3 linked regions of the Cricetulus griseus genome follow. The protein of the gene in region 3 interacts with the protein of the main gene of each other region in a pairwise test. Links are inferred from orthologs where the notes say so. Each region holds a gene or a part of one and is shown on either strand. Other genes may lie near its edges.

What was found.
Region 1: the proteins of Spg21 (region 3) and Dtx3l interact in binary tests that used the Homo sapiens proteins (3 or more experiments, as listed by UniProt). The two-hybrid records come from large-scale screens. The link is inferred for Cricetulus griseus from reciprocal best matches to the Homo sapiens genes SPG21 and DTX3L.
Region 2: the proteins of Spg21 (region 3) and Reep6 interact in binary tests that used the Homo sapiens proteins (3 or more experiments, as listed by UniProt). The two-hybrid records come from large-scale screens. The link is inferred for Cricetulus griseus from reciprocal best matches to the Homo sapiens genes SPG21 and REEP6.

What each region holds. Positions count from the first base shown.
Region 1 is NC_048597.1:53,734,445-53,738,773, forward strand, and holds the start of Dtx3l (E3 ubiquitin-protein ligase DTX3L), read left to right. Parts: upstream 1-1,202; 5' UTR 1,203-1,232; coding exon 1,233-1,416; intron 1,417-3,263; coding exon 3,264-3,637; intron 3,638-4,329.
Region 2 is NC_048598.1:101,129,652-101,133,394, forward strand, and holds the end of Reep6 (receptor expression-enhancing protein 6), read left to right. Parts: intron 1-146; coding exon 147-240; intron 241-329; coding exon 330-468; intron 469-1,461; coding exon 1,462-1,630; intron 1,631-2,128; coding exon 2,129-2,209; intron 2,210-2,484; coding exon 2,485-2,522; 3' UTR 2,523-2,662; downstream 2,663-3,743. UniProt on the Homo sapiens protein: Required for correct function and survival of retinal photoreceptors. Required for retinal development.
Region 3 is NC_048597.1:177,058,390-177,062,718, reverse strand, and holds the start of Spg21 (maspardin), read right to left. Parts: upstream 3,103-4,329; 5' UTR 2,884-3,102; intron 1-2,883. UniProt on the Homo sapiens protein: May play a role as a negative regulatory factor in CD4-dependent T-cell activation.

The sequences.
Region 1 (4,329 bases), about 120 Mb from region 3:
GTGTGTGTTTGAGACAGGGTTTCTCTGTGGCTTTGGAGGCTATCCTAGAACTAGCTCTTGTAGACCAGGCTGGTCTCGAACTCACAGAGATCTGCCTGCCTCTGCCTCCTGAGTGCTGGAATTAAAGGCATGTGCCACCACCGCCTGGCTTGTTTATAATTTTTTAAAGCCACTGAAGATCAAAAAAGCAGTTGCCAGTCGTATTGCTTGGTATACATAGGCAGGAATATTGCCCTCACACTGAAAGGGTTGATCCTGTCTCTACCAGATCTCACCAAGCCCCAGACTGCTTGCTGCCTCTCCTCAGTGTATGGCTGGAGAATGAATGCCAGCTCCGAGACCCAGTTCTTTTCTTAAATACCTCTTATGAGTACTGGGATTAAAGGTGTGAGTTCTGTTACCCTTTTAAACTGATCTGATCTCATGTAACCCTGGGTGGCCTTGAACTCAAAGATCCATCTGCCTTTGTCTCCTGAGTGTGCCACCACTATAGATTCTCAAAGACACTTCTTCCTCTCTCTGACCCCATCTCATCTGCTCCCAGGCCTGGGACTGAGCCCTTAGAGACTTCTCACTACAGCTCTCCCAGTCTGGGGTATTCTCCTCCCCTCCCCAACCTCACCTTAAGATTCTGCTTGAAACCAGATCTTGGAGGCCTTTGGCTTTTGTTTTCGTCATAGGTTCTTACTCTGCCCCACTCTCTGGGGACTCGGGACAGCGAATAGATCTGTGCTATTGGCTAAATACGAACCTAGAGCAGAAAACTCCTAAATGCCTATCTAACAGGTCATCCAGCAGGTAAACGCCCTCAACTGCAAAGAAACCAGATAACTGTAACTTAAATTCAGAAAGGTATCTAAAGAAAAAATAATCATAACCATTGTTTCGAAGCGCAAAACATGGGGAAAACTTAATCTCTCTACTCTGCTACACGGCCTGGCTCTGGCATCCAGGTTCCTGCTACTCTTCCGATCTTGCAAGAGAAGAGGGCGACCTGCGACCCCGGAGAAATTAGTTCCCCCACGAGCCCACCTCCCGGGGTACAAACTACTCACCTGGGCAAAGGAGACCACAGAGAAAGAAAGAAGGTGGCTCTGTGAGGAAAAGGGAGGGACCTCTTGAGAAACGAAACTGAAACTTTGCAGCCCCGTCTCTGGGACAGGACGCGCCTTTGCTCTGTCCTGGCTGCACACAGTCCCTGATTCCCCCACTCGATCCAGACGAGGACTGCCATGGCTTCCAGTAACTGCCCGTCGTCCCCGCTACTGGTGCGGCTGCCGAAGTCCATCCCCTGGGCGCACAGGAAGCTAGAGAAATACTTCCAGAGCCGGGCCTCGGGTGGCGGGGAGTGCACTGTCCAGCCCGTGGGCCCCAACGCCCCCGACACCTTCGAGGTGAAGTTCCTAGAAAGGGCAGGTGAGCCGGTACAGGGGAACTGGGCTGGGATCGGGTGCAGAGGCGGACCCTGAAAGTTTCTGAACAGAACCATTCGTGCTTCCACGAGAGTGTGGCACTGCCTGTAGGAGCCGCTGCCGCCTATAACTTCCTCTATCCTGGGGGATAGAGCCTTACTTGGGCCCAGCCACCGACCAGGTTTCCTAGGGACGGTTTCCATTTGCTAGCTGAGTTGCCCAATTTCCCAGCAGACCGACTTGAGAGGAGAAAGGAAAGTGTGTGGGGGTGGGGATTGGGGCGGAAACCTAGGGCCCTGTGCTAGCTAGGCAAGTGCTGCACCACAGAGCTACTTTCCTGTTATACATACTGATTCCACTGACTTGTTTTTAAGGATTACAAAATAAAATGTGATAACTTTTAAAAAGTCAATAGAAAAATTACAATGGGAACAGTTTCATGTATTCGTTTTTGTGAAATCAGCTAATGAATATACATTTAAATCACTCTAAACTTTTGGGTTCTTGGTTTGGCAGGGGTTTCACCACTTAACTATACAGTGAATATCGTTGTATGTCATTGAAATGAGAAATTCCAGACCATTGCTATGCAGCTTTGGCTGACCTTGAACTTGTGATACCCCCACCCCCACTCCCACCCCTACCTCTGCTGTTTAAGTGCTGGGATTATGGGTAGTAAACCACTATGCCTAGAAAATTGGCTTCTAATAACCAAATGATTTTATACAGTAAAACTTGAGCTGCCTACTTTTGAGTTCTGGATAACTTTCTCCCATCAACCCTGCTATTCCAGGATAACAGGAACAACTTGCTCAGGTCCTCTGTTCTTATTGTGATAGGAAACTTTTCCTGGGAGATACAGCACACATATCCACTCGCCCCAGATAGGGATCCCGCCACAGTACAGATACAGTGTAACAGTCTAACTTGGTGAACCAAGAGTTTCATTAAGGTTACTTACAGGAATATGGGTGAAGGGTCACTTACAAAAGCAGGAATTACTCAAAGACAGTTGCATCATTAAAGCCCAGACAAGCTCACAAAGCTGGAATATGGAGCACACTGCACAGCCTGCAGGCAGCCCAACAGGTGTGAGAGTGTCCTTTCCAGGAGCCTCAGTTGGTCTAAACCTCCTCCAGGTAGCTGGGCAGGTTTTTGCTTCTTTCAGGCAGCTTGGCTTGGACAAGCATCTCCCCTGCAGAGCCACTTTTCTGCATCTTTCTTGCATCTCTATTCTGTTAAGTGTCAGAAGGACTTTGAGCAATCATTATCGATTATTCAATCGGGGAGGAGCCTACTGAATCTGGTCAGTTTCAGGGACTTCCTGAAGCTGTTTTAAGTTGTTTACCTTCTTGCTTTAGGAGCTTCCCTGCGGGATGGAATGTTTCCATCTTGAGGAAATTTACACAACAATCCCACCTCCTAGGGTTCTTCCAACTAAACAATGCAAGATTGCCTGTGTTTCCATAGTGTTTACCCTGTATGAGGGACTAAAGTCATTTTAAAAGTGTATGGAAGACCAGGTATGGTGGCACACTCCTTTAATCCCCGAACTTTGGAGGAAGAGACAAGCAGATGTCTGAGAGTTCAAAGCCAGCATGACCTATATAGTGAGTTCCAGGACAGCCAGGACTACATAGCAAAACCCTATCTCAAAAAAAAAAAAAAAAAAAAAAAAAAAAAAAAGCACATGGAAGAATATGGGTGGCTTGTATGAAAGCCTGTAAGGGATATCTGTGGATTTTAGTGTCCTCAGAAGTTCCTAGAATCAACCCAGAGAGGACACTAGGGTCGTCTGTAAATTCTCTCTCATTCCTGTGTGAATATGTGTGTTTAATGTCTCCCCTGAAGCTAAGGAGGGAGTACTGAAAAAGAGAGAGCACAAGATGTTGATTGATGACAAACCTGTGACCATTTTCCTGGAAACCATTAAAAAGCCAGTGGAGGACCTGAGACCCAGATCTCCATCTTTGACACAGTCACCAGATGAGACACCAAGCTCTAGACCTCTATCTTTGACACAGTCACCAGATGAGACTCCAAGCTCTAGACCTCTATCTTTGACACAGTCAACATCTGAGACACCAAGCTCCAGACCTCCATCTTTGACACAGTCAACATCTGAGACACCAAGCTCCAGACCTCCATCTTTGACACAGTCTCTGGATGAACCACTGTCTGATAAAGAGTCTGCTTCTAACTCTGTTGACTCTGTTGTCCAAAAGGTGAGTGTTGACAGAGGAGCCAGCACCATTGCTACAACTGCCTCTGTGGTCACCGCTTCTGTCTGTTTTGGTCTGACAGCCTTGTGCCAGGCACTAGCTATGAGCTAGGCACTGGTCTAGGCACTTGGCTACAGAGTTAAACAAACAGGGACAAGATTCCTGTCCTGGTGCAGCCTGTATAGGGGTAAGGAAGTGAGCACACCATAAACAAGTTAATGAACTGAGGATAAGGACTTCAAAGATAGAGACAAGCTAGGAGAATAAAATGGAGTATTGCCTCAGAGAGGAACAGCATGAGGGCAGGCAAGGGAAGATGGGAGACCTGCTTGCTGAGGTGACATTTAGCCTGAGGCTTAAATGATGAGAAGTCACCAGGCATTTTTTAAAAATGTGTTCGACAAATAGATAGGGACTGCTTATGATGTGCCAGGCAGGGGCTGGAGGTGCAGGCACATAGTAGACTGCTCTCAGGGCCCTTAACATCGAGTAAGGAAAACAAAGAATAGTAAATAGATGTATAATAAACTTATGTCTGGTGACAAGTGCAGGGAGAATAAAGGAGGATAAGTGACAGTGACAGAACCACTGTCATAAATAGGGTACAAATAAACAAACCCCAATGGTGCTTCATCCAAAGGACATAAGTAAATTAAAGGACCTAGCTTCATGGTTTTGTGGCAAGAAACATTGTA
Region 2 (3,743 bases), on a different chromosome or scaffold from region 3:
CCAGAGCTGAATGAGGTCCTTGCCTGCTCTGAGGCACTTCCACCCCATGAGGGACATACAACAGACATGAGATCGAGGGTTCACCAGGAAGGAGGTGCAGGTTGCAGACTGCATTGGAGGGTTGCATGCTGCTCTTGTCTTTACAGGAGCCCTCGCCCTTCTAAGCCTGTATCTTCTGTTCGGCTACGGGGCCGCTCTACTGTGCAATGTCATCGGATTTGTATACCCCGCATATGCTTCGTGAGTGAGCAGGCAGTCCACAGGGGTGGGGAGGCTTCTGGGAGTCCCAGGGACCACCAAAGAAGATATGTGTCTTCCCATCTGGACAGAGTCAAAGCCATCGAGAGTCCAAACAAGGAAGACGACACTGTGTGGCTAACCTACTGGGTGGTGTACGCTCTGTTCGGCCTAGTCGAGTTCTTCAGCGATCTACTCCTGTTCTGGTTCCCTTTCTACTACGCGGGCAAGGTGAGCAGGCCATCTTCCCCATTGGGGAAGGGCAAAGAATTGGATCAGGGCCCTGTGTGACAGTGTGGTGTGTCCCCATGTGTGATGCAGGGCCCTGTGTGACAGTGTGGTGTGTTCCCATATGGGAGAAGGCCCTGTGTGAGGATGTGTGTCCCATGTGTGGGGCAGGGCCCTGTGTGAGGTGTAGTGTGTCCCATGTGTGGGGCAGGGTCCTGTGTGAGGTGTGGTGTGTCCCCATGTGTGGGGCAGGGTCCTGTGTGAGGTGTGGTGTGTCCCATGTGTGGGGCAGGGCCCTGTGTGAGGTGTGGGGCAGGGCCCTGTGTGACAGTGTGGTGTGTCCCATGTGTGGGACAGGGCCCTGTGTGACAGTATGGTGTGTCCCATGTGTGGGGCAGGGTCCTGTGTGAGGTGTGGTGTGTCCCCATGTGTGGGGCAGGGCCCTGTGTGAGGTGTGGGGCAGGGCCCTGTGTGACAGTGTGATGTGTCCCCATGTGTGGGGCAGGGCCCTGTGTGACAGTGTGATGTGTCCCCATGTGTGGGGCAGGGCCCTGTGTGACAGTGTGGTGTGTCCCCATGTGTGGGGCAGGGCCCTGTGTGAGGTGTGGTGTGTCCCCATGTGTTGGGCAGGGCCCTGTGTGAGGTGTGGTGTGTCCCCATGTGTGGGGCAGGGCCCTGTGTGACAGTGTGATGTGTCCCATGTGTGGGGCAGGGCCCTGTGTGACAGTGTGATGTGTCCCCATGTGTGGGGCAGGGCCCTGTGTGACAGTGTGGTGTGTCCCCATGTGTGGGGCAGGGCCCTGTGTGAGGTGTGGTGTGTCCCCATGTGTTGGGCAGGGCCCTGTGTGAGGTGTGGTGTGTCCCCATGTGTGGGGCAGGGCCCTGTGTGACAGTGTGATGTGTCCCATGTGTGGGGCAGGGCCCTGTGTGACAGTGTGATGTGTCCCCATGTGTGGGGCACGGCCCTGTGTGATGGCATGGTGTGTCCCCATACAGTGCGCCTTCCTGTTATTCTGCATGAGCCCGGGACCATGGAACGGGGCTCTAATACTGTACCATCGCGTCATACGACCACTGTTTCTAAAACACCACGTGGCCCTCGACAACGCAGTGAGCCAGCTAAGCGGAAGAGCATTGGACATAGCAGCGGGAATAACCCGGGACGGTGCGTACTAGGGGTGAATGCCCAGTGGGTGTGATCTGGATTCTGGGGGGTGTGTTTGTTTTCTCTTTGGGTAGTTTTTTGTTTGTTTTTTGAGACAGAATCTTACTATGTATACCAGGCTCGCCTGGAACTTTCAGAGATCTGCCTATCTACACCTCACAACAGTTAGGATTAAAGGTGTGTGCCATCACACATGGCTTGTTCAGTTATTTTGAGACAAAAAGAATTTCATGTATCCCAGGCTAGCCTCCAACTCACTAAGTAGCTGAGGGTCACCTTGCCTTCCTTAGTGCTGGGATGACAGGCCTGACAATGTCACCCCGCCCCAGCTGGCTCCTGGGTCTCAACTGACCCTGTCTCTGTTGTCTGTCCCCCTGCCTGGATTTGCCTGTCTGTCCATCCGCCTGCCCTGAAACACCTGACTCTTGCTACACTCCCCTGCATAGCTCTGCTATTCTCTTACTGTCCGCCTCTCTCTCTCTGGCTGTCGGGAACCAGTCCTGCAGGCCCTAGCCCGGGGCCGAGCTCTCATCACCCCAGCATCAGCAACGGAGCCCCCAACCACTCTGGAACTGAACCGTATGTAATGCCCAGGAGGGACTATGCAGGGGTTGTGTGCATTCTGTGTTTATGTTGTGTGTGGTTCTGCATCTGTGTGCGTATGTATGGTGCATACTGCAGGTATCCCTGGACAAGTGTGTGCATGCACCCACAGGGGCAGAGCGTGCTGGGTGTGTGTTCAGATGTCTGCATGGGTGACCAGCTTGCCTCTGCAACTGAGCTGGTGGCACATTCCCTCCCGCTCCCCGGCCAGTCGCGTCCACCCTCACATACCATGCCTTTCCGCTCCACAGCCAAGTCAAGCCAGACCCCGCTCCTGAAACACAATTGAAGTCTCCTGCCAGTTTGTGCTTGGAGCCTGTGCCCAGTGACAAGGAGGAGGGACACACAGCTGACGCCCAGGTCTCCTTGGACTCCTCCTCCTCGGACTCCCAGACAGAGATCCAAAACCAACGCCGAACTTCAAGCCCAACCAAGATAGTAGGAAGCCCGCCACGAGCCATGAACGGGCAGTTCTCATCCCCAGTCAGCCCAGGTTCCGATTCTGCGTCCCGGGCCCAGCTGGCCCCTGCTGCTAGCAACTCCCAGGTTCCCAACAAGATCTGGGCCCCTCGCAGCAGGGGCAGTGTGAATTCTAGGCCTACACAGCGTACCCGACTGCCCAGTACACCCTCTCAACCAGGGACCCTCTCAGCCATGCGATCTGGGGGGTCCTCCCAGCCAGTAGCCCGGTCCTCAGCACCTGCTCGGACACCAGTATGGTACCCAGGAAACAACCCACAATTCCCTCAGGCCCCAGCATCAAGCCTGGCCAGTCGATTGGCAGCAGCAGCCACCACGTCGGTACCCACCTCCATACAGCATGTCAGTAGTTCCAACCAAGGCTCACCTAGGGCCCAGTCGCCTAGCCCACCTCCTGACCCTAACCAGGCTGACAATAAGGCCCCCAGTGAGCCAGGGGATGTGGGTTCCAAGAACAACAAGCAGGGTCAGAAGACACCGGCCTCAGAGCTGGCTGGCAGCAGCACCGCGCCTGATCCCATGTCTGCCTGTCACTCTGACTCCTCTCTGGATTATATGTCTGAGTCCACGACGGAGATCACCTGTAAGTGGCCAGGCTACAATCACCAGCTGCGCTGCCCGAGACACTGCTGGCTCTTACAACACCTGGCATATTAGGGACATGAGTGCACACCTGCCCACGGGAGCCACATGAAACGCTAGACCACTCAAGCACCATATGAGTCATGTCAGACACCCGTCCTTGAGAGCCACAAAAAACAACTACCCACCCTAGGAACAAAGTCAAATACCTGCCATGGTCCCCCACACGTAAAACCTGCCCATGGATCCCAGGTGATACGTGTGTCACGGGAGCCTCAACAAGACCACCTGAGGGTCCCGTGTGTAACATCTACCCTCCGATGCACAATAAAATCACCTGCTCAGGCCCACAGATGTGTCAGCTGAGCTGTTGGGAGGGCTGTCAGGGATTAGTATCAACGATGTGGTAAGAACCAAGGAAACTGAGTTGGGGAGGCACAGTCACCTA
Region 3 (4,329 bases):
CCTTCTTGCAGATTCTTATGGCCAAGAGCACTTGGCCCACCTGGAAAGGTTCAAATACATGTCTTGCGTGGCATTCCCCTGCTTTGAGGGCAGAACTAGAGTCCCTAGTAGGGATGAGGTGACAGTCCAGGACTTAAGTTTAGGCTGACTTTGAAAAAGCTCTCTGGCCTGGCAAGGGGCAGAGAATTCTAAACTTAATGGAACCCTTCCTCATTCTCTGGCCTCTTTCTACAGGGACACAACACTGGTCTGCTACCTTTGAGAATCACTACACTGAACTTCCAGGAGACAGTAAATGTAGACAGACCAATATTAAAACTCTAATTACAATGCTGATAGGATAGTGGTCTCTTATCTCAAAGCAAAGGAAATATTTTGAGAGGGTTGTTAAAATTGTAATTTTTTTTTTTTTGAGAAAGGATTTCACTGTGTATCCCCAACTGAGAACTCACTCTGTAGACCAGGCTGGCCTCTAACTCACAGAGAGCAGAGCCCCCCCGCCCCCGCTAAAACTGTAAATTGTTTTAAAACACAAAGTAAATTACCATCAATCTTATATTGAAACCATCGTGCACAGATTCAGTCATTAACACTAAAACAAAGAACACAATCCTTTGCAAAATCCATTTATCTTAAATATTAACAAGTTTAGTATCTAAGATGTTTAAACTATTTTTATATCATAACTTTAACAACTTTTAGAGATTCTTATTATTTGAATAGTTTCATGCAAAATGTAATATAGTCAATTTACCTCTTCTGTCTCCCTTAAGCTACTACTTTTTTTAAATGAAAGCAACTAGCAGTTAATTCTGAAATACTTTACACTAGGACACCAACTAAAGACATTTTCTAGAACAATTTCTGTAGGAGAGAATATCAAAAATATGTGAAACCACCAGATGATAGCGCACACCTTTAATCCCAGCACTCAGGAGGAAGACAGAACTCTGAGTTCAAGGTGTACATAGTGAGTTCCAAGCCAGCAAGGGCTACACAGTGATAGGTGAAACCTCATTTCAAAACAGACACACAAACAAAAACTTCAATCAATTTGTTAAAGTTTACTTCTAGAATCAACCCATTTACGGTAGAAATTATTCACAGTTTTAGAGTCAGGTGCAATTCACAAACCAAACCACAGCACAAACACGTAGGCAGGCACACAAGGACCCCGAGTCACCCACTTCTTTCCCATAGCAATGGGTAGAAGGTAGTCCTTACCAAAAGCCTTCCGTATAATTCACAACTACCTCAGTATTGCAACAGGACACGTTATAACTAATCTTGATGGGTAAGAGATTTTGCCCAGCTGTGAGTACACGTTTGTAAAGACAAGTGAGCCTAACACTTGTGCTAGTTCGGCAGTAATGAAAGGCGAGACAGTTACCAAATGTTGCATGTGACCAGCTGACGGCTATGAAGAAGAAGAAGAAGAAGAAAAAAAAAGCTGCAAAGGGAAAGCAGCTGTAGCAGTATGAAAAGGAAAGTTTGTTCTAGCTCTCTTTCATCCACTTAGGTCGGATGCTTTTCCAAGTCACAAAAGAAACATTGTGTCTATGGCCCAGAAAGTTAGCTGAGATTGTGACCAAACTGGTCAGGATGAAAAAAGAATGTGAGCGGTGAGCTCAGCACAGATGCGATTTCTCATGATTCAGTTCTTTACAAAAACAAAAGCACTTGTTCAGGCTGGTGAGGAAAGGGCCAGAGATAAGCTTTAATCATGATTAAGGAAACCCCTCCTCCGGGATGCTGAGGACACCTGGTCCTTTCTGGACTTTGTGTTGCTGGATGTGAGCATGCACGTGGAGTCTCAGCAGAACCTGCACTTTACAGCTGAGGAAATCAGCTTTACAAATGTTAACTCACATGGTCACATATGGCTGGTCCTTTATCTCAATCTATAGTGGACTTACATAGGGATAATCTGTGATTATTACAGCCAATAAAAAAAGCATTAGACCTTGAAAGCCTCTAGGTGACACAACTATGATTATCGGTACCAGGAACTGAACCTATGGCCTCGGGAATGCTAAGCATGAGCTTCTGCCACTAAACTACACCCAAAGAACCACAGTTGGCTATTTACTGCAGATCTTCACCCCACCCCCAGCACACCCATATGTATTAAATAGCTATCTTTCGGGGGCGATTTCTTCAGGGAAAATTCATCCCTCTTTCTCCAGGAACCTATCCACTTGTCTCTAAATGCCATGACAGGAGATGCTGCCTGCATGACATCTTCTGACACCTCTTCTCAAGATCCTGTTGTAAATGCCTTTTGAAAAATTCAGACAGTATTAGAGGACTTCCCAATCCTTAGAATCCTTGCACGAAGAGTAGCTGGACAATTGCAGATAGAGACAAAGCAACTGCATCAGCACCTAACAACTAACTTCCTGGGAAAAGAAAAACGAGACACTCGCTAGCCCTGCAATGTTTCTCATGACTCTCTAACAAGCCTCATGCCCGGTCTAAGGCAGGATCTCCAGAACTGGCCTCTACTCGCAGTCCTTAAAAGTTTACTGAAACCAAATGCTTCTGAGCTTCTGCCGCACAGCCCCAAGTTGGGTGGTACAAGAAGATGAAGATGTCCGGTTAAGGTTTTGGGCACCAACCCCCATTGGGGCCTCCCTGAGTCCCACTAGTTATAGCCATAGCCACACAATAGTGGACCCACAGGCACACCGACCATCCGCAATGAACCGAGGCTGGGCCTTAGACACAGACACAAACACACACGGATATGGATCACGTGCATGGTCACAAGGACCGGCCCACCCGTGGACGACACTCACTAGTCACGCATGCTCGATACACACCCACCTACAACCCTACACGCACCACACACCCTCACTCCGCTTTCCAAGGCCTGCCCCTCACCTGCCGTGGCCACCCCCGCGTCCCTTTCTCTCCAGCCCAAACGGCTCTTCGGCCCGGTTCGGGCGCTGCGGAGGCAGGCGGCAGGGCGCGGGTGGGCCGGGCGGCTGCAGAGCAGAGGCTCCGCGGGCGCAGCAGGTAGAGGGGGCGCGCGGCTGAGCAGCCAGAGGCCGCCGCCTCCCAGGTCTGAATCCCGTAGCTCCCTGGGGCGCGCCTCCCGCTTCCGGGTTCTGAGGGGCGGGGCCGGACAGCGAGGAAGGGGCGGGGCTCTGGCGGTAACTATGACAACGAGGCTGGCGTGGAGCCCCGGATGGGAGCTTCTGTGCTCGCCCGAGCGCAAATGTATTGGAGCAATGCAGAAGCTGGCGCCAGTGCTGGCGTTGGGTCAGGGTCCGTCCTAGGTCACCTGTCTGACATAAGCACCAGGAGAAAGCTATGGCAGTGAAGTCTGTGCTTCTGCCTTCAGTTTTCGGGTGGCTCGTGCTTCGGGGGAGACATCTTTGGGTTCTAGCTTTGGTGAATAGAGCTTGATGTATTTGGTTGGTTGGTTTGGTTTACTTTTTGGTTTTGGTTTTTCGAAGCAGGGTTTCTCTGTGTAGCCCTGGCTGTCCTAGAACTCGCTTTGTAGACCAGGCTGGCCTTGAACACACAGAGATCGTCCTGCCTCTGCGCACTTCCCGCCTTGTGCATGCGCTACCACCGCCCGGCTATATATTCTTTTTTAATTAGCATAAGTTAATTAAATCACAATAACGGCTTCATTAGGACATTTTCATATCTACATAAAGTATTCTGGTCATCACCCTGTTAGTCTTTATCTTCCTCTCATGCTCCCATCTCCTCCCTCTTCTTAACTACATACTTTTTCTCAACAGAACTAGTTTTCTCTGTACAGTTACAGAGATCCTCCTCAGACCTCCTGTCCAAACTGTCTCCTTTTGCGGCTTTGTGCTGATGTTGAGGGGAACATACTCAACACTAGGCTTGCCCTCAGACACAGGTCCTCTTCTGTAAGGCTCACTCTAATCACTGTTCTTACAAAAGAGGGTGCAGATGTTATGACTCCTTTCAGTAAGTAGTTTTGCTCTGAAATAATGTATGATCATATTGAATTATCTGTAAATCTTGTTTGAAAAATTTTAAGAATCTTATAGCAAGATCTTAGTGTTTTAAGGAGAACTTAAAAATATATCTTTTTAAAAAAATTTTATTTATATAGCTTCACATGTCAATCCCTTCTCCCTCTCCCTCCCTCCCCAACCTCCCACCAGCCCCCCCTCCCCCCTCCACTCCCCAGGGAGGGTAGGGCTCTCCATGAGTGCTCCCCAAAGTCCACCACATCATCCTGGGCGGGATCTAGGCCCTTCCCTATGTGTCCAGGCCGAGACAGAGCATCCCTTCACGTGGGATGGGCTCTCAAAGTCCCTTCTTACACCAGAGAAAAATACT